Macaca mulatta: one gene and its partners. The protein of the gene in region 6 interacts with the protein of the main gene of each other region in a biochemical or structural test. Links are inferred from orthologs where the notes say so. Each region holds a gene or a part of one and is shown on either strand. Other genes may lie near its edges.

Region 1 (3,500 bases), on a different chromosome or scaffold from region 6:
ATTACCAGTCATTTAAAAAAATCACTATTGCTGCGCACAGTGGCTCATGCCTGTAATCCCAGCACTTTGGGAGGCCAAGATGGGCAGATCACGACATCAGGAGATCGAGACCATCCTGGCTAACACAGTGAAACCCCATCTCTACTAAAAATACAAAAAATAAGCCAGGCGTGGTGGCAGGTGCCTATAGTCCCAGCTACTTGGGAGGCTGAGGCAGGAGAATGGTGTGAACCCAGGAGGCACAGCTTGCAGTGAGCCAAGGCACGCCACTGCACTCCAGCCTGGGTGACAGAGCGAGACTCTGTCTCAAAAAATAAAAAAAAAAATCACTACTGAAATCAGTGTATATTAATTTGTTCTAGGAAAGGAAATGTGATGTTGTGATCCCCGTAGTTGCGAATGCCATGGCTGACCAACATGTGCTTGATGGATTGGAATAAGAGAGTTGAGGATGATCACAGTTATGCCTTAGCTGCCTCACCAGGAATGTGAGCTGTGAATCCTTGTGTTCACCCACATACACATGAGTTAAAAGCTGTAATAATGCAGCAATGAATGGCAATCGTGTGTGTGTATGTAATATACTAAAACAACTTCTTTTAGTTATTGCATTTCATTAGAATAAAGTCCTCAAATTCTCAAAATACCAGTCAGCAGTAGCTTCAAACATTCCTGATAGTTTCTCCTGTATGTTAGCCTTGGAATTACACACAGGACACACAATTTACACTACACTGATCCTAATAAGTGAATCCATGTGCAGCATTTCCCTTTAACAGTTATGTTTCAAGCAATATGTCAGGATAGTAATATGAATATTTTAGGGCTAGTAAGATATATAATTTGCAGGACCCTGTACCAACTGCTTTAGATCCATTACCTCATTTAATACTAATGATAATCCTATGGGATAAGTCTTTTTATCATATTTTACAGATGTGAAAGCTGAGGATTGGAGAGGCTGCCTACTGTGTCCATTATTGCAAAGCTAATACATGCTAGAGCCAGAGTATGAGTGCCCCTGTGTCTGACTCCACTATACCACGCTGCCCTCAAGCTGAAGTAAGGAACTAAAGATAGCAAAAAAAAAGAATTTTCTCCAATAAATTAGTACCTGACCATTGGCTTTCTCTAACATAAAATGAACCAATTTCCCTTCAAAAACTGAATGTGGAAACTCGTCTACCGAATATAATTCATGCTCTTGAAAGAAAAATATCATATTCATTTTAATCTAAAGTCCAATGAGACAACATGTAAATGCCAAATGATCTCTATTATGTATTCTCCAGTTTTAGGAAGTCATGTAAATTAAATTTATGTATTTTAGTTATTAAAAGCAGTATACTTAATGAAGAACGAAAGTCCGTCTGCTGGTTAGTAAAGTTTGCATGACTTCTACTAAAACTGTGCAAAACAAATCTCTTTCTACATGCAGGCTGTTGTACACAGATTCCTTGGAAGTCTACTTCTGGGTACTTACATGAGATGGTATGTAGATATCATAAGAGTTTCCTGAATCAACATCAATTACATGGAAACCAGTGTGTGAACCAAAAATAACCTTTAATCTTTGACCTTCTTCTACCGTGAGATCAACTAGCAGAGGCTTGTGCTGGAGATCTGCAAAAGACTTTAAAAATCACCCCATCAGTATCCGCATCACTCAAAGAGGTATCTTAATAATTTTTTTCCTTTAGCCACTGTCTAGAGGAAGTTAACTCCTAACTTTATTAAAGTGAAAAGCTAGAAAATTTCTCTTTCAGTTTTAGGTCTGTTGATATTCTGGCTGTAGGAGGAAGGGTCTAGCATCCATTTTTGCCCCTTTCCCTACCCTTTGTCCTCCAGGTCAATGAAGTTTAAGCTGGTGCACAGGTGTAAATTTTGATAGTGGTAATGTATATTAAAGACCTGGTGCCTGGGTGCTGCTGTTTTTTCCTGTTTATTTCTGGCCTTTGTCCTCGGAAGAAGGCCCAGTTACCTCTCTGGCCCCTCTCTTTCCCATGTGGCAGTGAGGCCCATCCATAGCAATTACCCTTTCAAAGACAGCCTGGGAGGGACAGCCAAGGCCGGCTGTTTTCTCAGCCTGTTCAGTGTTAATGGGCATGCTCTGGTTTGGAATTTCTTCAGCGAATGAGTGGGCATAAGATTGGCACTTTCTCTTAATGTTGGAATCTGAGACTTGGGTTTGGGTGGTAGAGAAAGAGGTGAGAGTGGAACATCACAAGATTGATGGCTTGCATTGACTATTTGGGTTTAACTAGAAAGCAAAAAGAGAGGTCTTGTCAAGTTTGTGAAAGTTCTCTGTGTTTGAATCCAGAGCCCAAGCCCCACCTAACTGTCAAGTGTTCCTCTGCCATTTTCCTTTGCTATTTTTTAACCACACTCTACCTTTGGGCCTTGAGATCTGGGAGAGCATTTGTGAAACTACGATTGCCTTAGCTATAATGCCACTGCTACCTCTCAGACCCTTCTCTTCTCATCTTTTGCTAACACCATTCTGACAGCACAGGAAGCTCAAGCCTCCTGTCCTTGTCCTATGGGAAGGCTTTGCCTCTTGCCAGTTCCACTCTTCCCTGTTCAAGTCTTTGCCTTTGCTTTTCCCTCTCTCTGGGCTGGATCTGGTCTGTCAGAAAGAACATTTTGCACTCTCTCATGTGCTCTGGGTCATAAAATGATGGCAGTAACTTCAGAGCAAGAATGGGAATGGGATGTTGATTGAAAAGCTTTTGTGGAGACAGATTTTGGCAGAACAGGACACTTTGGCTTTTAGGAGTTATCCCTTAATTGTTATTAGTAACCTAGTGCATTCCAATTTTTTTTTTTCCATAAAAGTGAGGTTATGGAGGGGAGCCCATTTCCATTAATGAATCTATTTTCCTGAGCACATCACAAATAAGCCATCTGCACTAGGGAACAAGGTAGAAGTGATTCAGCTCTGAAGTGGGCCTACATAGTGTTCTAAGGTTTTGCCCTCCATGGTGAATGTGGCAGAAAAGAATGAATAAGGAACCAAAGGGAGATAACAGTCATAAAGGTGGGGAGAAAAAGTAACAGCCAATGAGACACAAAGAAGTAGACAGACATAAGCTGAGAGAGACAGGGAGTGTGAGAGAAAGCAGAAGGTAAGTTTACTTGGGCTATGGATAGGTTATGCGGCTCTGAACACATCTGGGTGCCTGTAAGTACTGGTCCTCCTGGTATTCGGGTGTCAGCTTCATGAGCTGGGGTCAACAGGACTAGCATATCCCCATCCCACTCCTGGCAAATCTCATGAGTGACCAATCCAACCATGGTGGGTACAAACTTAGACAAGGTAAAAAATGAAAACACAATCAAAATAGAAGAATGCAGAGAAACTAGGTCATTTCCATAAGTTAGCACTGGGGACATATAAGCATCACCTGCATTTTAGGGACTTCATCCAGAAAAATTTATGAGGATTAAAAGATTTAGAGACTAAGTTTAACTTAGTCTTTACTTTTGAAACAATAAAACCA
Region 2 (3,939 bases), on a different chromosome or scaffold from region 6:
CTAATGCCTAGTTAGGAACATTTGATAAGCAGCAATAATATTTAATTCCCAACTAACTCAACTCTCAAACTGCCAAGTATCAACCCTCAATCTGGAAATCTGACGACAGTTAGGAAAGAAAAAAAGCACTCTCCATCAGCAATGTGTAGTGAGTTTTTTAAAACCCATTTTTCTCGACCCTGCTAGAACAGAGCCTGTCTGCAGAATTGCAGAAAGCTTAACCAACCTTAGTTAACCCCACTGCCTAGTGGCTACTCCCTAACCCTACTAAACGTCTCTGGGTTGGACCTCAGATGCTAAAATTATCCTAGCAAAGTTAAAACTCCCAGCATCATCAAGGTAGCTGACAGCCAAGACCTACAACTATTCTGCAGACACCAGTAGGCTGAGGACCAAGAAAACAGAGGGAAGGAGAGGCAAAGGCTGCTGGTTAACTAGTTAAGCGCTGAGGACTCCTGCTGTTATCCTCTCCAGTTAGTGAGCATCAACACCACACTTCCTATAGCCAAACTCCTTTCTTAAAAGGGTCAGTGATGCAGAAGGTGGGTGCTAACTGGGACAACTTAAAACTCCCCTTCTTAAAGCTCTCCTCCGTGACCTGCTGAAAAGTGCACCTGGACCGGTTTTCGGGAGACATTTTTTAATGAACTCTTCAGCCACTCCCGGGCAGTCATTCCTAAGCACGACTTCCACGCACTTCACAAGACAGCCCAGGCCACGCTGACTTGAAGACACCCCCTTCAGCACCGGCAGTTGCCAAAGCTGCCTCCAGTCTGGGGAAGAGTTTCCACAAAGCTGGCTCTAACAGGCCAGTGGAAGGCACACGGAGGAACCAGAAAGCGTTTTCTTGTAAGCTAAGGATGGCAGGCGCACATGCTCCAGTCCAGTGCTGCCCAGAGGCTGCCTGCCAGGTGCTCTCGGCCTCCGCCAGTGAATGAGTGGTTTGGTTTGGTTTTTAGTATCTGTTTCTTAAGACCACCGGCAGTAACTTCCCAGTTTCCCAAACTGAAGTTGGGGAATGAAGGAACAGGTTTACCCCCTTACACGCTGCTCCCATCTGGGTGGCCACACTAACTTCTGGGGAGTACCCAGCCCCCACAGAGCCCGCAGGCGCGTATACATACACATATGCATCATGTCAAAAACCCCAAAAGGCAGAGTCCTGCGGTTTCTGAGCTGGAGAATGAAGCCTTTATAACATCACAATCTCAAATGCAAGCCCACCATCACTACCTTTAAGCCAGGGTTGCCAGTTATAGCGCCCATCTCATCCCTCCCCCTTTGCTGGGATGCTGTGCAGCCCAGAGAGAGGAGAGGGAAGAAGGGAAGAAGGGAGAAGGCCCTGCTTGCATAGTGAAAGTAAAGGGGGGGAGACTTCTCCTTCTCTGTCTCCCCACTCTTCCCTCCCCACTCCGCCCCACCCCCGTCTTCTAGAGGAGCATCCCCAAACTAATTTTTTAAAAATGAAACTTAATAAGCTTCTTGCCTACCTTGGCTGTTTCTGCAACAAGTGCATGGGCAATCCGACGAGAAGACCAGTCTCCGCTTGGGGGGTGAGATGGGGGGCGAGCAGAGCTGATGGAGTAATTTCAATATTAATTTATGTCAGCCGCCTTCTCTCAGCGCTACTCACTTACAGTACTGCCCTCAGCCTGTAAACAAATATCGCTCCGCCAGGAAACATACTCCCCAGATGCAAGCCCCTCTCCCCAGCAGGGAACCTGGCCCCTCGCCCCGCCGCAAGAGTGTGCTCCCCCACCCGGGGTAGGAAGCTTTGGGTTTCCAAAGCACCAACCCACCACCTCCTCCACCACCCCAGCAAGAAACTTACTCGGTCCGTCTACGCCTCCACCCTCCCTTCAGGAAATCTACTCTCCATATGCATTCAGCCTCCCCGCAGGAAATCTGCTCCCCCCCTCCCCCCTTCTATATACATGCACCCCTCCCTCTCCTCCTCCCCATGCGCCCTCCCCGGCCAGAAACTTACTAGTGAGCAAGCGTGCAGGCTCTCCTGATGCTGGAAACTTACTCCCAGATATAGCGCCCGCCAGCCCCCTTTCCCAGCCCTGTTCCCCTTCCTGCCCTCCGCCGCAAGCAACTCCAAACTCTCCGCATCCAGCCGTTCTCCCTCCCCGGTGGAAATTTGCAGCGCCGGGCTGCGCGCGTGCATCCACCCTCCCCTTCAGGAAACTTACTCCCCATCTGCATGCACCGCCTCTCAGCCATCGCTTAGAGGGAAGGGGGTGTGCTGGGGAGACAGAAATACATATGTATCTCTCGCCCCTCCCCCGGCCGCAGCCCACTCGGGGCCGAGCCGCGGTAACCTGGCCTTACCTTTGCATTGCTCCCCATCCTCGCCCCCTCCCTTAACCCTCCTTATCCGCTCCCCGGTACCCCCCTTTTTTCACCCATTACCCACCCCTAGCAACCGTTCCCAAGCTCCTCTCGGCCTTTTTTTTTTTTTTTTTAAATCCAGGATGCAAATTCCTCCCCTGTCAGCAAATCGACTGTCAAATTATTTTCTTGCAAAAGGAGAAAGGCGGGGTGGGGGGGGGAGCAGGAGCAAAAAGGGGGGAGGGCGGGGGAAGGGAGGGAGAGGGACCGAGGAGGGGAGAGATATCCCTCCGCAGAGCTGGGTCTGGCCGCGGGCGGGGAAGCAGGAAGTAAGGTGTCCAGCGCCGCGGCCGGCTGGTCCTCCGCCGCGGCCCCCGCCCGCGTCCCCTTTCCCCCGGGGCGCAGCGCTCCGGCGGGCGCGGGCAGCCCGGCGCATTGTTCGCAGCCTTCGCGGCGGTGCGCTGCTGACTTTATTTGTGCGCTTTGCGTGTGCGTGAGGTTGCACCTTTTGTAGGCTGGCGAGTCTCTGGACGAGGATGGGACGGGGGACACGGGCCCAGTTGCGGCCCTGCGCGAGCGGGACCTGTCAGCCCCGAGGTGCAGCGGACTCTCCGGCGTGGCCGGAAAATCGAGGCCGGGGAGAAGGCAGCGTGGCCGGGAAGCTGCCGCCTTAAACCCAGACCAGTGCAGGATTGCTTCCTGCGTAGCCGTCCCGGTTATTGTAACGCGCTTTGCAAGCAAACGACTGGGGTTTGGGAGGGGGTTTGTTTATTTTTCTAAGGGTCTGCAAAGATGCCGAGGTCGAGGCGGGCTGCGAGGAGACGGTCCGCGCCCACCCCCACTGCACCCTGGCCTCGGTGGGGCTGGGAGAGGGCTGGGGCTCCGGAGAAGGGGCTGGAGGTTCGCGAAGCGCGCGTCTCCATCCCTCCGCCCCGATGGGGGCGGGGAAGGGGTGCAGTAGACCGCGCTGGAAGAGCAGCTCTCTGGGGAGGGGTCTCCATCGCCGCGGCGGGCGCAGCAGGCCAGGGAGGGAGGTTGCCTAGGAGAGGGGCCGGGCGGCGGAGGGGAGGGGAGGAGAGGGGGCGCGGGTGCAGCCGCCGCGCGCGCTCGCCCCTCCTCGCGCGCCATGACTGTGGAACGTGGTGCCGGGGAGGAGGGAAGGCCGCCGGGGGCCGCCCGGGGCTGCTCGGCATTGGTGCGGAAACCCGAGCCCGGAGTCGCTCCGTCGCTCTTGCCTCCTCCTCCTCTGCGGGGGAAACCGCTGCACCCAAACCGGGAGCAGCTGCGAGGAGGGGGCAGGGCGCGGGCTGAAAGGCGAGCCAAAGGTTCAAACCTTGGCGGTGCGGGCCGGGGGTGGAGGGCAACAGCAGGACTGCCCCCAGGTCCCGCGAAGGCGTGGCAGTGGTCGGCCCAGGTGCCAGGGAACCTGGCCTGATATCCCTGCATTTCCAAGCTTCTTTCCTGGTCAGTGGAAACGTGAGCCAAAGGTAGTTCAGCTAAACAGACCACCTCGAGCCGGGTTCGAGGCATCTGTCTCGAGGGCAAGACAGTATTTTTTGCACTACAGAAAGTTACACCATCCATTTTTTTTTTCCATGGGGGAAA
Region 3 (3,500 bases), on a different chromosome or scaffold from region 6:
TGTGTCCAGCAATTTAACAAGGCAAAATAAAGTGATGTCGTATCACCATCTATGCACCGGGGCTTCCGTTAAAAACGTGTTCAATGACACTTCACGGTACTTATGTCAATGAATCTTCACAATCAACCTGGTGAGAGAGAGAGTGTTCTTGTCCCCATTTCATAGATAAGAATTCTGAGAATCAGAGAGGTTGAGTTTCTGGACTGAGGTCACACAGCTGTAAGTGGCAGGATAGAACTTACACCCGCTCTATCTGGCTCTAGAGTGGGTTGTGTCTTTGGTCCCTATGTGGTGGTACCTCTCCAACCCAGCCACCACAAATTCTAGGTTGACTAGGAAAAGAGAGGGGTCAGGATAGGCCCCTCAGAGGCAGAGGGTCCCAGCAGCAGCAGCCTGACAAAGGGCACAGGGCACTGGGGCTCCTACATCATTTTCCGGTGTGGCCAGGCCCCCGCTGGGCTCACTTTTTCCACCCCTACAACGAGGGGGCTGGGGGTGTGGGTCCTTTCCTGCCTGACCTTTTAGTCACTGAGGAGGGCCTGAAAGGAGGAGGTGGAGGGGAACTGAGGAAGTGCGTTGAGTTCCTTGTGGTCAGGTAGGGTCAAGGGAGTGTGGCAACCTCAATCCTCCCCCTCTTCCTCTGGCCCCGTCCTGGGCTCTGTGGGGAGGGGAGCACAGATGGAGCCCTTCCCCCAGCTGTGGCCTCAGCACTTTGCCAGCTGGGGCCAAAGCAGTGGGGGAGGGAGGAGCGGCTGTTCCCTCAGATCCCCCTCCCTGGGGTCTGGAGAGGGGGCTAAGTAGGGTTAACCCTTGTTGTCCCAGGGAAAGGAGTGGGACTCAAAAAGCCCTCTACCACGCCCCCCCATCCATCCACACACACTGCCTTCCAAGGCTTGTTCTGGCTGCCTAGACTGGAGAGGGGGAGCCAGATGTCAACTTCTTTCTCGGCTCCTCCCCTCCCTCACTCTGGGTCAGAGTGAGGTCGGGTCACTCAAGGGGTCTGTCTTGCTGTGTCTCCACGCCCGTAGGAATCTCTCCTTCAATGCTCTGGAGTCTCTCTCCTGGAAAACTGTGCAGGGCCTCTCCTTACAGGAACTGTGAGTGGGGGCACTTCCAGGGACAAGAGCACCAAGTGTGTGTGTGCCTGCGTGCACTTGGGTCTGTGGGATGGCATTGGGTCACTGTGTCTGTGTGGCACTGCTGGGGGGGTCTCTTTGGGGACTATGTGCATGCCAGTGACACCCCCATCAAAGCAGGGGCTGCAGGACCACCCGTTAAGGGGGCTACTGCCCTGGGGAGCTGGCCTGGATGACTGTGTGTGTGCTGGGCCTGGCTGAGCAGATCCCAGGCCCACTGTGTGTCCACGGCACATCTGGCAACATTCCCAGGGCACCTTGCACAGGGGTGAGTGGGGCGCAGGGGTTCATGTGTACCTGGTGGGCACTTAAGGCCTCTGGGTCACTCTGGGAGGCTGTGCCTTTCCCTCCTTGTCACCATGCTGAGAGCCCTTGCCTGGTTTCTCATCGGGGGAGCCTGGGGTGAGGGAGCCCCATGCATCCCTCAGCCATCAGCTGTCTTGTCTTCCACTTTCTGCATTCAATTTCTTTCATTTTTACATTATTTTTTCTTTTTGTGGAGTTGGGGTTTTGCCATGTTGCCCAGGCTGATCTTGAACTCCTGGGCTCAAGCAATCTTTCGCCTCAGACTCCCAAAGTGCCAGGATAACAGGTGTGACTCACTGCGCCTGGCCTATTTCTTTTCTCTCTCTCTCTCTCTTTCTTTCTTTCTTTCTTTTTCTTTCTTTCCTTTTTTCTCTTTCTTTCTTTCTTTCTTTCTCTTTCTTTCTTTCTTTCTTTCTTTCTTTCTTTCTTTCTTTCTTTCTTTCTCTCTCTCTCTCTCCCCCTCCCTCCCTCCCTCTCTCTCCCCCTCCCTCCCTCCCTCCCTCTCTCTCTCTCCCCCTCCCTCCCTCCCTCTCTCTCCCCCTCCCTCCCTCCCTCTCCCCCTCCCTCCCTCCCTCTCTCTCTCTCTCCCCCTCCCTCCCTCTCTCTCTCTCTCCCCCGCCTCCCTCCCTCTCTTTCTTTCTTTCCTTTCTTTTTTTGAGACAGAGTCTTGCTTTGTCATCCAGGCTGAAGTGCAGTGGTGCAATCTCAGCTCACTGCAAGCTCCGCCTCCTGGGTTCACACCATTCTCCTGCCTCAGCCTCCCGAGTAGCTGGGACTACAGGTGCCCGCCACCACGTGGTCCTGGCTAATTTTTTGTATTTTTAGTAGAGACGGGATTTCACCGTGTTAGCCAGGATGGTGTTGATCTCCTGACCTCATGATCCACCTGCCTTGGCCTCCCAACGGCCTATTTCTTTGAATAACATCCTGTTACTGGAGTCAGACGGAAAGACCTCTGTGTCCTCCCTTTCACCTGTAGACCGTCCTCCTCGCGGCCTAACTGCTCTCTCTTATCCCTGTGATCCCTCAGGCCCCTTCCTTGACTCACTTGGTGTCCCCCATGCCCACCAGGGTCCTGTCGGGGAACCCTCTGCACTGTTCCTGTGCCCTGCGCTGGCTACAGCGCTGGGAGGAGGAGGGACTGGGCGGAGTGCATGAACAGAAGCTGCAGTGTCACGGGCAAGGGCCCCTGGCCCATATGCCCAATGCCAGCTGTGGTAGGTGCTGGGTGAGGGAGATGGTGTAAGGGGGCTGGGAAAGAGGCTCACCTGCCTGAGGGAGAGGGCACTGAGCAAGCACTGAAAAGGCCTGGGGAATGGGCATTGGCAAAGGCTGGGGGATACTGCCTGGGGTGACATTGCCTGGGCTCCGGGTCACTGAGGAGGGTGGGGGAAGGAGCAGCCCTGCAGTAGAATTCTGGGGCCACTCCCAGCTCTAACACCCTTTGGCCCTTGGGCATCCTGGGTGGCCAGGTGTGCCCATGCTGAAGGTCCAGGTGCCCAACGCCTCCGTGGATGTGGGGGACGATGTGCTGCTGTGGTGCCAGGTGGAGGGGCGGGGCCTGGAACAGGCCGGCTGGATCCTCACGGAGCTGGAGCAGTCAGCCACAGTGATGGTGAGAAGCCCTTAGCCCGCAGCCCCCAAGAGGTCCAGGCAGAGCACAGGGGACAAAGACGGGGAAAGAGAGACACACTGTGGAGGAAAGAGACAATAAATAAGGAGCACACTGAGGCTGAGGGATGGACAGAGATGCTTTAGACCCACAGGGCTCAGGCCTATGCTGTGGGGCAGCCCAGGGCATGCACACCCTCGGGGGGGGGGCACTGACGCAGCAGGGACCCCAGGCTACACTTGAAGCCCCAGGACCCCTTTCTGGGAACATGGTGTTGGCTGCAAGGGAGAGGGTCACAGAAATCTTACATGTTGGAGCTGAGAGGAACCCAACAGACCATCTCTCCCATACATCCCTTTTCTTTCTTTCCTTCTTTCTTTCTTTCTCTCTCTCTCTCTCTCTCTCTCTCTCTTTCTTTCTTTCTTTCTTTCTTTCTTTCTTTCTTT
Region 4 (3,500 bases), on a different chromosome or scaffold from region 6:
AGGGGGCCTCTCATCCTGTCCATGTGTGGCCGTGCTCTGGATAGAGGAGCTGCCACAGTACCCACTGCAGAACCCCACAGACCTGCCCTGGACTCTGCCGCATGGGCCATGCCTCCACACTGTCAGGGCAGGGGCCAAGCAGGAGCAGGCCAGAGCTACCCTCACACTTCCCCACCAGCCAGGCGGCCCCTCACCTGGCCAGATTCTCCGTCACTCTCCGCAAGGCTTCCTGCTTCTTGGCCCGGTTCTTGGCGGCAGCCTCGTTGGCCATCTTCAGCCCCAGTCGCTCCCTGCGGCCCGGCTCCAGGATCTACAAGGTAGCAGGCGTGTGGGTAGCTGTGCCAGGCCTGCCACATGCCAGGCAGCCCCTCACACAGAAAGCCACTGTGGTGGCTGCCAGCCTCTCTTTGTTGCCTACAAAACCCCCACAACCCACCATCATCTCCCACTAAAAGCCCCTGGAAAGCCCCCAACCCCGCCTGACCTGCCCAGGGCCCAGCACTCCTCACCTGTCTTCCTGTTCCTCCCAAAGCCATGACCTCTGACAACCTCTCAGGAACAAGAGGTCTGTTTTAACGTTTCCCTGATTATCGGCGTGAACATCTCTGTCTTATCGGCACTCTGTATTTTGGGCGCTTCCCCACGTGTCTGTGGCCTATTTTACTCTCAAGGGGCTCATTTTCTTTTTCTGCTGCTGTCACTCAGAAGACCCTCGCCAAGACCCTGTGTCAAGTCAACTGCGCTACACCGTGCATATGTGTTTTCAGTTATTTGCCCTTGTTTCACTTATAACATTTTCTGCTGTATTTGTTATTTTCATTTGTGATTTCTTCCTTTGCTTTTGTTTAGAGAGTCCTCCCTAACTTAAGATTAGACTACAGGCTGGGAGTGGTGGCTCATACCTGGAACCCCAGCACTTTGGGAGGCCAAGGCAGGAGGATCACTTGAGCTCAGGTGTTGGAGACCAGTCTGAGCAACATGACGAGACCTCTTTTCTACACACACACACATACACAAAATTAGCTGGGTGTGGTGGTGTGTGCTGTTAGTCCCAGCTACTCAGGAGACTGAGGCTGGAGGGTCACTTGAGCCCAGGAGCTCAATGTTACAAGGAGCTACGATTGCACCACTGTTCTCCAGCCTGGACAACACAGTGAAACCCTATCTGTTTAAAATAAATAAATAAATAAAGGCGAGGCATGGTGGCTCACACCTGTAATCCCAGCACTTTGGGAGGCTGAGGTGGGTGGATCACAAGGTCAAGAGTTCGAGACCAGTCTGGCCAACATAGTGAAACCCCATCTCTACTAAAAATACAAAAATAAGCCGGGCATGATGACGCATGCCTGTAGTCCCAGTTACTCGGGAGGCTGAGGCAGGAGAATCACTTGAACCCAGGAGGTGGACGTTGCAGTGAGCCGAGATCGCGCCACCACACTCCAGCCTGGGCAACAGAGCGAGACTCCATCTCAAAAAAAAAAAAAAAAAATCAAACTAGGCCAGGCGCGGTGGCTCAAGCCTGTAATCCCAGCACTTTGGGAGGCTAAGACGGGCGGATCACGAGGTCAGGAGATCGAGACCATCCTGGCTGACACGGTGAAACCCCGTCTCTACTTTAAAAATACAAAAAAACTAGCCGGGCGAGGTGGCGGGCGCCTGTAGTCCCAGCTGCTCGGGAGGCTGAGGCAGGAGAATGGCGTGAACCCGGGAGGCGGAGCTTGCAGTGAGCTGAGATCCGGCCACTGCACTCCAGCCTGGGCGGCAGAGCGAGACTCCGTCTCAAAAAAAAAAAAAAAAAAAAATCAAACTAAATACTCGCCACTATTTTCTTCTAGTTGTTTTATGGTTATTGTTTTTACATGTAACCTTTTCACCTTTCCAGAATGTATGCTGCTACACATCCTAAGGACCCAGCTTCCTTCATTTCTAAATACTCTGCTATTCAGTGCAATTTGAGTTGCCATCTTTATCGAGCCCTAAATTCTGACTCATGATTTCACAATTTCCGTTGGCCTGGAGACTCGGGAAGCAGTGGCAGGCGCACCTTGGAAGCACCTCAGCCCTTGCCTTATGCTCTCACATTTGACAGCATAGCATCCTCTTCATTATCCCTCTCGCATGCCTGCCTTAGTTATCCTTGCATCCCAGACAATTCAGAACCAAAGTAACCAAAACCTCTCCCCATGTTTTGTCTGGACATGGGTTACCTCTACTAAGTACTCTGGGGAAAGCCCCGCAGTGGTACGGGGAGGCCTGTTGCACCTGACCCAGCCCACGAAGAGCCTCCCCTGGTTTGTGCCGGTTCTCACACACTCCACCCTGACCACTCCTACAACACCAGGCTTGAGCCGTGTCATCCAGCGTGCCCCAGTCATGTTCTGTAACCAGGGGCCTTCCTCTGCAAGCACACAGCCGCATCCCGTGGTCCTCAGGCCTGCAGAGCTCCTGACGTGTCTGTGACTATCCTCCCTCACTCGTGAACAGCACCCGGCCTCCAGGATCCACAGGGCCCAAGCCACTCCCTGCCTTGGTGTCTCAGCCCTCACACCCCCAAATCCCTCTGTGACAGGTCCACCCACCCACACCTGCCTTCGGTGCCCTGGCATTCAGAAAAGCCAGCACTCTGCCTGTCAGCAGCTGGGGGCCGATTCCAGTGCTCAGTCCTGAGCCACAGGCACTCAGGGCTCTAGAGGTGTCCACCCCGGTCACACACGGTTCCCCCATCACCACGACCCACCTTGAAAGCTGGGCCCGGTGTCCTGTCCACGTAGGGGGTTTCCGACCCTTCAACTCTCAACGGTGTGTTCTCAACCTCCCCCCAGGTCATCATTGGGGACTCGTTCACACCTGCAAATAAAGAGCCCAAAACCGTCTCAGGCCAGAGGACTCCCCACCACCCTCCCCTCCAGTCACAGCCTGTTCACCCAATGTGCATCCCAGCTAACATGAATACAGGCAGCTAGCCCATTCTCCTTTCCCAGGACTCTGGAACCCTGGCACCTCCATCCTCCAAAAGGGAAATGCCAAGCTCCTAGCAGGCCCGAGGCAGGCTCAAGGCCCTACAGCCATGTGCTTAGCCTACGAGCCTCTGGGAGGTCTCCCCCAGCCATGCGGGAGGAGACACTCAGGCCTTCCAGGGCTCCCAAACCTCCTAGAACCCCGGACAAACCTGTGGTGCCTTCACATGCCCTGACCTGTGACACAGCACCAGCACCCAAAAGCACAGAGGCCAGACTGCAGGAGGGGCACCCATGCATGCCACGGGACCACCTGAGTGTCACCTGCCCCCTGAGGTGCCGAGCCTCCCTCCCTGCAGTGCTAGGTAGACTTAGACTCATAAGCACTGTGCACACACCCCCACCTGCTGACATCACAGCAAGGACCAGGACAGAACACATCACCCCAGGACATCTCGGGTCAGGTCTGCCTGAGAGTCCAGCCCGCCCATGGCCCCAAGCAGCCTGGACACCTGGCCTCTAAGGCCTTGTACAGACAGGAGA
Region 5 (3,983 bases), on a different chromosome or scaffold from region 6:
GTAAACTTGCACACTAATTTTAATCTTAACAAGGAATTTCAGTGTCTTAGTGGTTTTAAGTCAAAAGGATGGTTCAAGCATTGTGTCCTTTGTTCTTTAGGGTTACGACAGCTTATTGGAAAACCCAGAGCCTTCTGGATCTGTGAGGTAGTAGACTTCAACCCTCATTCATGCATAGATCACACTTCTCCAAAGTTGGTATGGCCTGTCTCCTTGGCATGTTCCCTTGCTTCTGCTTGTCCAGTTAATCCTTTCTGACATACCATGCATCTCAGGGTGAAGCGGTTGACATCAGTAAACTGTCTCCTTCTTCTAGCTTCATCTGCTAATTCCAGTGCTTGTACAAGAACAATATCATCATTAGAGGAGAAAATGGTCAGAGGAGGTGTATCTGGATCAGGGAAGTTACGCTGAAGTGGATCATAGTGGATGCCATCATAAATAAGCAGAACCCTTTTAGTATATCCTGCATCTTCCCCAAAACGATCAATTCTTACTGTCTGTGTATCCACTACACATATTTCACATTGGTAAAACTTGGACAAAATCGATATCTCTATTGCTCCTCCCCAAGTGTCATCCCTTTTGATCCAGTCACAGTACTCTTGATTTGTTTTTCCCAGTATTGCCTCACTATAGAAGTCCGGATCGCTTGCTACAATTTGTGCTATGAGGCGTCTCATCTCAGGGGCACAAGCTGGATTCAAGACTCCTCCTTCGACGACATAGTACACACTGGTAAAGAGGCAAGAATTGTCTGCTGGGACCACGGTTCTGGTAAGCACAGGCAAAGTTTCCCTGACGTAACTAGAAGCACCACGTTTAGTAAATGCAGGTGAACTTTTGGGCCTGGTTTGGTCTTCTTCAACGATCAGCATGTCACCTGTTAAAAATAAAACAAATCCCGATCTGCAGAGAAATTATAGAAGAAACCGAGTGTTCACTAGCCAAGTCTGTAAATTACAAACTGAAGGAGTTAAAGCATAAACTGGGGTTATTAAAGAGAAGACAGCTTTGCAAATAAGTTACCAGTAACAATCTTTGTTCACTGAATTTTCATAAAGATGAAAAAAGAACAAAGAACAAAGACACTTCAGGTTGCATCCCAATTTAGTGAAGCGGTCTGGAGTAAACAACTTTAAGCTTACCTAAAAAGATACATTTCAAAAACAAAATTTCCTTTCCTTATACAGTATTTTACAGAAGGTGCTCACTACAGAGTAGGCCGCTAGGGGGGTCTCCTTCTCTGGGAACTTATCTACTCTGAGTGTTTACAGCGTCCTTGATACAGCAACTGAAAGCTTTTAATTATAAACACTGATGTTCAAGTTTTGATATGGCACAAAAATAACTGCTACTGGTTAGAAATTGAAAGGGCTTTCAGTGGGTGTTTAAAAGCTGACTCGAAAATGAGTATGCCTGTCAAACGAAGTATCTATGAAGGGGATTGCAAAAATGAACCAAGAAAAAAAAAATCCTGCATCCTTGAGATCTCATCGATGATACAGGGGAAAAGAGACATAAGGACAGAGAAAATAGGCCCTACTTCTTCATATTTTTGTGGACGCCGACGGAAAACAAAATGGGATAGTTTCAAAGCCGAGCAGAAAGCGGATTGGGGAAGGGGGACTTCAAGCCTTTGGGTTCCCTTTCAACCCTGTGTCAAGACAAGGAGTTGCTAGACACTTGCCCCGGCCCCCGTCAGAGTTCTCTGTTCTTTGATCTATCCTCGCCCCTGGCCTCAAAGTCCCCCGCCGACCCACAGCCACCTTGCCTTGACTAGTGTTCTGTTCTCTCTCACGCCCCTCTCCGTCCTCCCGGGACTTTCCCTGGCCCCTGCCCTGATTCCTTACCAGATTGGATGGGCAAGTCTTCCAGAATGGTATCCCCATTGCTGAGATCCAGGCACTCGGGAGGGTATCCGACGAGGATTCGCTGACCGCCGGGGGCGATCCCGGTGATGGCGGCAATTTGGCTCTGGAGTTCCCGCACCCGGGTCCGGCTGGACAGCCCCTGCAAAACATGGGTGCCGTCCTTGGCCTTGCAGCGGAGCCGCCACATCGTGTCGGTCCGGCTGCCCACAGGCCAGACACCCGCGGGACCAGCTTTGGTCCCGGCAGCCGGTTGAGCGATGCCGCCGGGGCAACCAGGCGCCGGGTGGACTCCAAAATGGCGACCTTTAGCGGGGCCAAACATCGCGAGAAGTTGCGGGTTGTTACAGTTCTCGCGACGCTTCGGCGCGGCTTCTGCCTTAAGCGCGAACTCTTTTAAAGTGGCAACTGATTTTTCCCCCACCCTCAGAACGAAGATGTAAACCTCCGTATTCCTAAAGGACAACGGGTCTTGCTACTTGTAGAGCGAGTGAGGTGCCCTCCGCGTCGGTAGCATATATGCTTAAGAAAAGAGGGCGGGGGAAGGAGTTCCTTAATGAAGCTCTGGAGCTTGGAATGTGACCTTGCACTTAGTGAGGTCGGAAATTATTAAATTGGGGCTTCCACGCTACACCCAGACTACATTAGGAGAAACAGAATCATAGTTCACAACGCAAACGAATGCCAGGAATGGTCACTGAGTCAAAGGACCAGTCAAAAACAATTATACTTGTGACTAGACTCGTGGCTGCATTAAACATTGACTCATTGAGGTTCCAGGGGCCAAAGGACTGGCCTTTCTGCCTCCCTGGGACTGCTTGAAAACGTCTATTTGCCACATCAGAAAGCACAGTATGAGGTCAGCATCTGGGCCCAGGGCAGCTGCCTCATTCAGGTGGTGGCAGTGTAAGGAGGAGTCATGTAGTGCGTGTCATCAGATTCCAGTTCAGTTCCTGGGCATGCAAATATGAAGACTTCATTCCTGCCTTCATTGTAACAAGTATTGATTGCAGTTGGGAGACAGGGTGGGGTGTGAGACACACAGCCACTGAATTTCAAAGCAACGTGATAATGCTAGATTATGTGTACCTTTTCAACCGTGTGTGCCTAGAACCCAGGACTGTGAATCGCAAATAAAAAATGTTCAACAAATACTTGCTGAAAGAATAAAGACAGAGTTGTATAGACATAGAGAGGGCAACTAGAGCACTCTGGGAGTTGTAAAAAGTCTCAAAGAGGAGATAACTGTTTGAACTTTTGGAAGAATGAGTTTAATTCCCAGGCGAAGGAGGAATAAAGACATCCCTGAATTTATATGTCTATTTTCCAAGAAATCTATACTCATTGTTCTTTATCCAGCCGGTATCCAGACAGCAAGTCCCACTTGTCTAGAGTGTGTTTATCAAGCATCAAACGGGCCCACTGGGGCAACTATGAAAAGTGTAGTTCACTTGGTCCAAACTCACCTCCACTGTAAAAGACTTTGCTTCTGAATAAATGATATGTAATGTTTCTATCTTTTCACATCTTTCATGACTCAATTTTTTTCTGCTGGTGCAATTTTCCTCCTTGGTTCTTCAAGACACTACAACAGATGATACAGCCTGAGTTGGGAGGTAGGTAGGAGGGAAGGTAGGAGCGGTTAGAAGTCCACTGGGGTGGCCGGGCGCGGTGGCTCACACCTGTAATCCCAGCACTTTGGGAGGCCGAGGCGGGTGAATCACCCGAGGTCAGAAGTTCGAGACCAGCCTCATCAATATGGAGAAATCCTGTCTCTACTAAAAATACAAAATAAGGGGGGCGTAGTGGCGCATGCCTGTAATCCTAGATACTCGGAGGCTGGAGAATCGCTTGAACCCGGGAGGCAAAGGTTGCGGTGAGCCAAGATCGTGCCATTTCTCTCCAGCCTGGGCAACAAGAGCAAAACTCCATCTCAAAAAAAGAAAAAAAAAATTCCACTGGGGTGTATGGGTGGGTCCAGGGAAGCTTCTGGTTCAACGATGAGAGTGGTTGAGTTTCTTAGGTTACAGCGTCTGACCTGTGGAACGGGGTATGTATACACCCTAAGGCATAATTAGCTCAAGTGTTGTGGTAGTTTATTCTAGCAAAAAC
Region 6 (3,500 bases):
TTAAAAGCTAAGAAAACTTAAAATATTAGTTTTACTAAAATAAATATGGAATGAGTCAAATGTTAAAGAAAGCACAAATTCTTGCTGAGAGACAGTTTTTGTTACTGGAAAATAAATGTAAAAACAGAGCCTAGGAATGTATTCAGTGTACGTATTAACATCGAAACATTTGTTTCACAATTTACGTGCCATTTTAACTGATCAAAATTAACAAACCTGTCCGAAAAGTTCTTCATCTATGATAAACCTGAGGTCCAATTCTGTTGGGTCATTTTCAAGAATCCATCTTAGGGAATTGTAATATTCACTATCCTAGATGGGAAAAATTACGTATTTAAAATTTGTACATATAACACACCTGAAATTGCAAAAAAACAATATGTAGAGGGGCTGAGTAGTTGGGTAAAAGATGAGAGGTCAGATGGACATCCTTTACTTACACACATAAACAAAAATGTATGTGTGTATGTGTGTGTATTACAAAAAGAGATGGATGGTAAGGGCAAGAGTAAAAATGCACCAGTCAATCAATCAATCAAGTGGTGCCTACTGAAAAGTTCAGAATCTATGTTTATGTGGAAGCAGTGGAGGTACAGATTGTATCATCCAGTTAAAGGAATGAATACAGAAGTTTTCAGATAAAACCTAACTTTTGGCTTTGGATATCCAGGAGCACTTAGCACATTCCTCATATGCCTACGTGACTATAATGTTTTATTTTTATTTTTTAATTTAATTTTTTTTTTTTTTTGAGACAGGGTCTTGCTCTGTCCCTCAGGTTGGAATGCAGTGGGGTGATTGTGGCTCACTGCAGCCTCGACCTCCTTGGCTCAAGTGATTGTCCTACTTCAGCCTCCTGAGTAGCCGCGACTACAGGCATGCACCACGACACCCGGCTAATTTTTGTATTTTTTGTAGAGACAGGCTATCACCATGTTGGCCAGGCTGGTCTCAAACTCTTGACCTCAAGTTCCACATGCCTCAGCCTCCCAAAGTGCTGGGATTACAGTTGCACACCCCTGTGTCCGGCACTGTGTGTGAAATGTTTAAGTAGCTATGAGGAGGCCATTGTTTATACCCAGCCCGAGTTAAAGAAAAATCTCTAAATAAATATAGAGGCTCAATGAACCAACTCAAATAACCGTGCAATCTTACGATTTATAAAGAAGCACACTGTTTGTGCTGTTAATATGTAATAAGAAAATAAAAAATGAACTTGGTACTAAGGAAGATGTCCTAGAATTCATGTGTACACACATCGTGTGAGGCTATTCAGCAGCACAGGAAACAACATGGCTACAGTCAGGGGTTTAATCCTTGGGCTTCTGTTTTTTTCTAGGAGCCTAACCATAATGCTTTGCCTTTCGACTGCCATTTAAAAAATATACACCATATGGTCGGGCGCAGTGGCTCAGGCCTGTAATCCCAGCACTTTGGGAGGCCAAGGCGGGTGGATCATGGGGTCAAAAGATGGAGACCATCCTGGCGAACACGAAACCCCATCTCTACTAAAAATACAAAAATTAGCTGGGCGAGGTGACGCGCACCCATAGTCCCAGCTACTCGGGAGGCTGAGGCAGAGAATTGCTTGAACCTGGGAAGCGGAGGTTGCAGTGAGCCGAGATCACGCCACTGCACTCCAGCTTGGCAACACAACGAGACTCTGTCTCAAAAAAAAAAAAAAAAAAAAAAAAAAAAATATATATATATATATATATATATATACACACACACACACACACATGCAATATTCATCATAAAAGATCGTAATGCAAATACTGATTCCAAAGACACATAACTTGTACAACCTATTGAAGTATTTAGTGGGATGTTTACTGTTATCTATAACTTACTCTGAAATGCATGAAGAAACTAAGATAGGCTGATGGATAGACAGACAAGTATGTGATACAGTAAATCTAGAAAAAACCAATTGTGAGTAGTGGATATACAAGTGTGCGGGGTAAAATACTTCCATCTTTATTAAACGTTAGAAAATTTTCATAATAAAATGTTGAGGAAAAAGTTAATTTGTATTTTGAAACATAATATATTAATTTCCATGTCATTAAAAGCAAATTCCTCAAAATGTTCAAGTTACTTATTAAATTATACTTTGTCTAAACTATAAGTGAAAAAGACATACCACAGATTCCATATCATGAAGGGTTATTGGTTTGTGAAGCATCATCTTGTAAAATGGGCGGATGAAAAAACCTTGCAAAAAACCAAATACATTTAGGATGATTACCAAGTGAAAGACAACAGGTAATTACATTGTAAAAGTTTATACTTAATACTAACCATCCAACAGTTTGCCATGATACACTGCCATTCCAGCTACCCGACCAATAAACTTGAAGTAAGATAGGTGATCTTCATTACACAATCCAGAGTTTGGATTTATCTGTAGGGTATAATTGTCCCTGTAAAGACAACCCCATTTAAATACTTCATTTGAAACACTTGAATATGACAAATAATTATAAATAATCTTCCTCTTTTAAGAGTTGTTTACTACTGTTAGAACCACATTCCTCCACTGAATTTAATGGTTTTAAAAATAGTAATTTCTGTCAAAAAGTGGAAATAACCCAAATGTCCTTGGCAGATGAATGCATAAACAAAGTTTTGTTTGTTTGTTTTCGAGATGGAGTCTTGCTCTGTTCCCCAGGCTGGAGTGCAACGACATGGTCTCAGCTCACTGCAACCTCCGCCTCCCAGGTTCAAGTGATTTCCCTGTCTCAGCCTCCCAAGTAGCTGGGATTAGAGGTGCCCACCACTACGCCTGGTTAATTTTTGTATTTTTAGTAGAGACAGGGTTTCACTATGTTGGCCAGGCTTGTCTTGAACTCCTGGCCTTGTGATCCACTTGGCTCGGCCTCCCAAAGTGCTAGGATTACAGGCGTGAGCCACCGCGCCTGGCCTAAACAAAGCATTCTATGCAAAAATAATGGAATATTATTCAGCCTTAAAAAGGAAGGACATTCTGATACATGCTACAACATGGATGAACCCTGAAGACATCATGCCAAGTGAAATGAGCTGGTCACAAAAAGACAAATATTGAATGATTCCACTTATGTGAGGTACCCAGAGGAGTCAAATTTACAGGGACAGAAAGCAGAATGGTGGCTGCCAGGGAATGGGGAGCAAGTGCTTACTGGGTACGGAGTTTCATTTTGGGAAGATGAAAAAGTTCTAGAGTTGGATGGTGGTGATGGCAGCACAACAATAGAGTGTATGTAATGACTCTAAATTGTATATTTAAAATGGTTAAAACAGTAATTTTTTTTTTTTTTGAGACGGAGTCTCGCACTGTCACCCAGGCTGGAGTGCAGTGATGCGATCTCGGCTCACTGCAAGCTCTGCCTCCCAGGTTCATGCCATTCTCCTGCCTCAGCCTCCCAAATAGCTGGGACTACAGGTGCCCACCACCACGCCCGGCTAATTTTTTTTGTAGTTGTAGTAGAGATGGGGTTTCACTGTGTTAGCCACGA
Region 7 (4,091 bases), on a different chromosome or scaffold from region 6:
GAGACCATCCTGGCTAACACGGTGAAACCTCGTCTCTATTAAGAAACACAAAAAACTAGCCGGGCGAGGTGGCGGGCGCCTGTAGTCCCAGCTACTCGGGAGGCTGAGGCGGGAGAATGGTGTGAACCCGGGAGGCGGAGCTTGCAGTGAGCTGAGATCCGGCCACTGCACTCCAGCCTGGGTGACAGAGCGAGACTCCGTCTCAAAAAAAAAAAAAAAAAAATAAGGGCATATACTGGATAAAACTAATTAAAATAGATGAGTATGGAAAAAAAGTGATGAGAACCATCGGAAAGTACCTCCCCAGGGACCCATTAGGAAATACCTCCTTCTGCGAGTAGTCCCTCGTGTACGGTTCCTAAGAACATTCAAAGGGCAGGACAGAAATAATAATAAACAATCCTCTCTATAAAATGACTAGATTACAGGCTGATAGAGTTTTAATTGAGAGGACTTTGCAAGTGACTGAGAAATCAGCCTAGAATTCAAGAGAGTAACTCAGAATTGTAGGCCGAAGCTAGGATTTCTGTTTGAGAAAACCTTCCTAAGAGCTCACTACTGTTACTTTGATTACATCTGCCTACTGCTGCAGGATATCAACAGTCGTTTCAAGAATTCATGAAATATTTTTTGTTAAATCAGTTTCAATATTAATAAAGAAGCAGCATTACTTATCCAAAATCTGGCATAACAAACTACAGGGGAAAGAACACTTAGAATATGATTTTTTAGCAATGCATTTGAGTATTGCACATTTTAATAACTAAGGAATAAATGGAAATGGTAAAACAAGGAAGGTTATTAAAAATACAATTTATAATCACTTAAACTATATAAAATAATGAGTGCAATGTGACTGGAACCAGTGCTAATACATTATAGCCAAACTTCATAAAATAAAGCATTTTTAAAACAATAGACCCACAATATTAAATATTTACTGGAAGTTGAAGGCAATTTTTTTTTGAGTCCTGGATAACTGAAGCTGATTTTTAGAGTAGATTTGTTTTCATAAGTATAATTTTTTAAAATGAAGAAATTGCACAACAACGTGAATGTACTTAACATGACTGAACTGTGTACACTTCGAAATGGTTAAGATAATAAACGTTGTTATATGCTTTTTACCTCAATTAAAAATAAAAATTTAAAAGAGACGCAAATGGGGAAAAAGCAGAAGAAAAAGTGAAGGAGTCAAGAGGGCTTACAAGTGAAACAGGCCAAAGACAGAGTGCACGGAAGCAGGAAAGGTGCTGGACGAAGTAGGAGGAGAGGTCACAGAAAGCAACGGTGGCAAACAGGGACACAGAGTTGAGACTCAGGGAGGGAGAGACAGAGGGAGTAGAGAGACAGAGGAAACTAGGAAGAAAGAGGGAAGAATAGAGAGAAGGGAAAGCAGAAAGAAAAAAGATGGGATGTTAGAGAGGTGCAAAATGATAGAGAACTGGGGTGAAGCCAAAAGAGGATGGAGAAGGAGAGGCGATAACAGCCAGGAGGGTAAAACAAGTAGAGAAAAAGAAAACAAAGAGGGAGGAAGAGGGAGAAGAAAGGAAAGAACTATTGAGGGGAACAATAGTGAAAAGTTGGAAACTAGAAAGAGAGGAAAGAATGAGGTGGAGAAGCTGAGAGAAGTTAGAAGTTCTGTAAAGAAAGCATGGTGAAAGAAAGGGGGTTAGAGAGGTAGGGGACTATACAGACAGAAACAAAAATAAACAAGGAGAAGCTGAGAGAGAACAAAAATAGGAGACGAGAAGAGAGTTAAGGATCTTAAAGGCACACTTATTCCTGATCACATTCTAATAATGTCTATGTTGTAGAATTCCCCTTTCAACAGTGTTTCCTTATACCCTACACAGTTTAACTTATCTCATCTTTATTATCATTATTTCAAATGTTTTCTAATTTCTTTTGTGCAATTTGTTTGGCTTGTGGGTTATTTAAATGTGGTTTTCAGCTGGGTACGGCGGCTGACACCTGTAATCCCAGCATTTTGGGAGGCAGAGGCAGGTAGATCGCTTGATCCCAGTTCGAGACCAGCCTGCAAAACATGGTGAAACTCTGCCTTTACAAAAAATGCAAAAATTAGCTGGGCATGTTGACGCACATCTGTAGTCCCAGCCACCAGGGAGGCTGAGGTGGGAGGATCACTTGAGCCCATGGTTGGGGCTGTGGTGAGCCTTCATTGTACCATGGCACTCCAGCCTGGGTGACAGAGTGAGACTCTGTCTCAAAAACAACAACAACAACAAAAATACATGGTTTGATTTCTGAGACAGTGAGAATTAAAAAAAAATTGATTTGTAGTCTAATTCCACTGCATTTTGAAAAATACAAGGTAAACTTCTGAGAAAAAAATTTCACACATTTTAACTTATATTAAATCAGTGGTCCAAATCTCTTTTGGGTAGAAAAGGTCCTTTTCATTTCCACAAACTCTTAACTCTTAAGTTCCATATAGGTCAAAAAGAGACTATGGAACTACTTCAGTCAGTGGTGTAGACAGCAGCATTCAAACTTTGTATACCTATTCCAAGAAAGAAATACATTTTATACTGCAACCTCAATGCACCTTTTGAAACAGACATTTTACAAAGTATACATGTAAGTCACTGATATTTTCTATTCTATTACACCAATTAAATGCTTTTTAATTAAACCCACTAAATTGTTTCCACAGCCCACTAACGGGTGGCATCACATTGTATACAGGGAAGTGGCTGGGCAGAAGCAAGGATCACCGAGCTCCTGAGCAGCAAGCCTGTGAAAGTGGCATCCAGCCTCCCCCCCTCTTCCCTGGTAGTGCTGAGCAGCCATGGAGGGGGAACACACAGTGGCGCCTGTCCTGGAAAGCTCTCAGAGGAGTCTTTGGAATGATTCCAGATAGTCTTCTCTATACTTAGGAACCTGGATTGAAATTATATCTGCATCACTGTGTATTCCCAGAAGTTTCTATTTTCATGTTTACTGTGACTTGCTAAATACTGAATGAGAACAATGAAATGTGAAGCAAGTGCTTCTACCTGTCAAATTATTGAAGGCCCCCCGACTTCATTGTAATAATGGAAACTCGGCCATCACTCACACTTGGCTTTACAAAGCTATCACAGGCCTTCGCTGACCAGAAGCTATCACAGGCCTTTGATGACCAGGGCCTTGTCCCCTCCTCACACTCCTCCTGTCAATAGCCAGACCCCTCATGGATTGTTTGGGGGAAGGGAGGACTGAAGACTTTCAGCAATACATGATCTCCTCTGAAAGACGAGGATTGTGAACCTACAGGAAAAGACTCTTCCTTGTTATGCTGAACATAGGGAATTAATGGCTCTCAGTTATGTTTCAGATGAGAAGCACACCTAATTATGAGTACATTGATTTAACTAAATGCACACTACTTAATTAGCATTTTTTAAAATGGGTGACCCAGCAGCATGGAATACAATGTTCCCTTAATATCCAGCCCCCTTTCCTTCTCCACTTAATGAGCCTACGTTTCTTTCAAGACTATTATTGTTCTATAATAAAAACAGCCATGTTCTGTCTTCCCCAGGAAAAACTTCCTGTATGACCAAGAATGAGTTAGGCATGTTCTGAGTAATGATCAAATCAGGGCAATTAGCATATCCATCACCCCAAACTTTTATCATTTCTTTGTGTTGGGAACATTTGAAACCTTTCTTCTAGCTTTCTCTGAAAATAAGCTATTAACTATCCTAATCCAATGCTAAAGAACACTAGAACTTATTCCTCCTATCCAGTTGTAATTTTGTATTTGTTAACTAGCCTCTCTCCATATCCCCCCTCCCTTAAGTCCATTTAAATATCCATAAATTCTTTAATTGATTTAGAACATGCCTTTTACCCCTAACCACGAGGGGGCTTATATTCGCTTATACATCTCACGACCAAGAGCACAAGGACAAGACAACATCTGTACTGTTACAAAATGAAGCTGAGAGTAATAAGTGTAGGGATGAGAATCTAATGAATATGTGTAAAACCAGTGCTTGGCTCATAGTGTCAGCTTTCATTATTGTTATTATAACATGCTGCTTTCCAGGATGAGGTGCTTTTCTGTGGATATTTTTGATTGT

What was found.
Region 1: the proteins of NEDD4 (region 6) and TNIK form a complex in vitro, tested with the Homo sapiens proteins (2 studies listed by BioGRID). The link is inferred for Macaca mulatta from reciprocal best matches to the Homo sapiens genes NEDD4 and TNIK.
Region 2: the proteins of NEDD4 (region 6) and TRERF1 interact in a test that uses a peptide from one of them, tested with the Homo sapiens proteins (2 studies listed by BioGRID and IntAct, with this or other methods). The link is inferred for Macaca mulatta from reciprocal best matches to the Homo sapiens genes NEDD4 and TRERF1.
Region 3: of the proteins of NEDD4 (region 6) and NTRK1, one has a biochemical effect on the other in vitro, tested with the Homo sapiens proteins (3 studies listed by BioGRID, with this or other methods). The link is inferred for Macaca mulatta from reciprocal best matches to the Homo sapiens genes NEDD4 and NTRK1.
Region 4: the proteins of NEDD4 (region 6) and ESS2 interact in a test that uses a peptide from one of them, tested with the Homo sapiens proteins (2 studies listed by BioGRID and IntAct, with this or other methods). The link is inferred for Macaca mulatta from reciprocal best matches to the Homo sapiens genes NEDD4 and ESS2.
Region 5: the proteins of NEDD4 (region 6) and YOD1 form a complex in vitro, tested with the Homo sapiens proteins (2 studies listed by BioGRID, with this or other methods). The link is inferred for Macaca mulatta from reciprocal best matches to the Homo sapiens genes NEDD4 and YOD1.
Region 7: the proteins of NEDD4 (region 6) and RAPGEF2 form a complex in vitro, tested with the Homo sapiens proteins (2 studies listed by BioGRID and IntAct). The link is inferred for Macaca mulatta from reciprocal best matches to the Homo sapiens genes NEDD4 and RAPGEF2.

What each region holds. Positions count from the first base shown.
Region 1 is NC_133407.1:82,744,236-82,747,735, forward strand, and holds part of TNIK (TRAF2 and NCK-interacting protein kinase), read right to left. Parts: intron 1,634-3,500; coding exon 1,484-1,633; intron 1-1,483. UniProt on the Homo sapiens protein: Serine/threonine kinase that acts as an essential activator of the Wnt signaling pathway. Recruited to promoters of Wnt target genes and required to activate their expression. May act by phosphorylating TCF4/TCF7L2.
Region 2 is NC_133409.1:139,692,655-139,696,593, reverse strand, and holds the start of TRERF1 (transcriptional-regulating factor 1), read right to left. Parts: upstream 2,801-3,939; 5' UTR 2,420-2,800; exon of another isoform or gene 1,988-2,419; intron 1,937-1,987; exon of another isoform or gene 1,832-1,936; intron 1,576-1,831; 5' UTR 1,491-1,575; intron 1-1,490.
Region 3 is NC_133406.1:110,056,634-110,060,133, reverse strand, and holds part of NTRK1 (high affinity nerve growth factor receptor), read left to right. Parts: intron 1-1,028; coding exon 1,029-1,097; intron 1,098-2,513; coding exon 2,514-2,659; intron 2,660-2,914; coding exon 2,915-3,057; intron 3,058-3,500. UniProt on the Homo sapiens protein: Receptor tyrosine kinase involved in the development and the maturation of the central and peripheral nervous systems through regulation of proliferation, differentiation and survival of sympathetic and nervous neurons.
Region 4 is NC_133415.1:33,572,330-33,575,829, reverse strand, and holds part of ESS2 (splicing factor ESS-2 homolog), read right to left. Parts: intron 2,848-3,500; coding exon 2,738-2,847; intron 311-2,737; coding exon 195-310; intron 1-194. UniProt on the Homo sapiens protein: May be involved in pre-mRNA splicing.
Region 5 is NC_133406.1:64,800,761-64,804,743, forward strand, and holds the start of YOD1 (ubiquitin thioesterase OTU1), read right to left. Parts: upstream 2,801-3,983; 5' UTR 2,197-2,800; coding exon 1,854-2,196; intron 884-1,853; coding exon 180-883; 3' UTR 1-179. UniProt on the Homo sapiens protein: Hydrolase that can remove conjugated ubiquitin from proteins and participates in endoplasmic reticulum-associated degradation (ERAD) for misfolded lumenal proteins.
Region 6 is NC_133412.1:33,147,773-33,151,272, forward strand, and holds part of NEDD4 (E3 ubiquitin-protein ligase NEDD4), read right to left. Parts: intron 2,427-3,500; coding exon 2,305-2,426; intron 2,218-2,304; coding exon 2,147-2,217; intron 313-2,146; coding exon 217-312; intron 1-216. UniProt on the Homo sapiens protein: E3 ubiquitin-protein ligase which accepts ubiquitin from an E2 ubiquitin-conjugating enzyme in the form of a thioester and then directly transfers the ubiquitin to targeted substrates. Specifically ubiquitinates 'Lys-63' in target proteins.
Region 7 is NC_133410.1:167,416,837-167,420,927, reverse strand, and holds the start of RAPGEF2 (rap guanine nucleotide exchange factor 2), read right to left. Parts: upstream 2,801-4,091; 5' UTR 2,781-2,800; intron 1-2,780. UniProt on the Homo sapiens protein: Functions as a guanine nucleotide exchange factor (GEF), which activates Rap and Ras family of small GTPases by exchanging bound GDP for free GTP in a cAMP-dependent manner.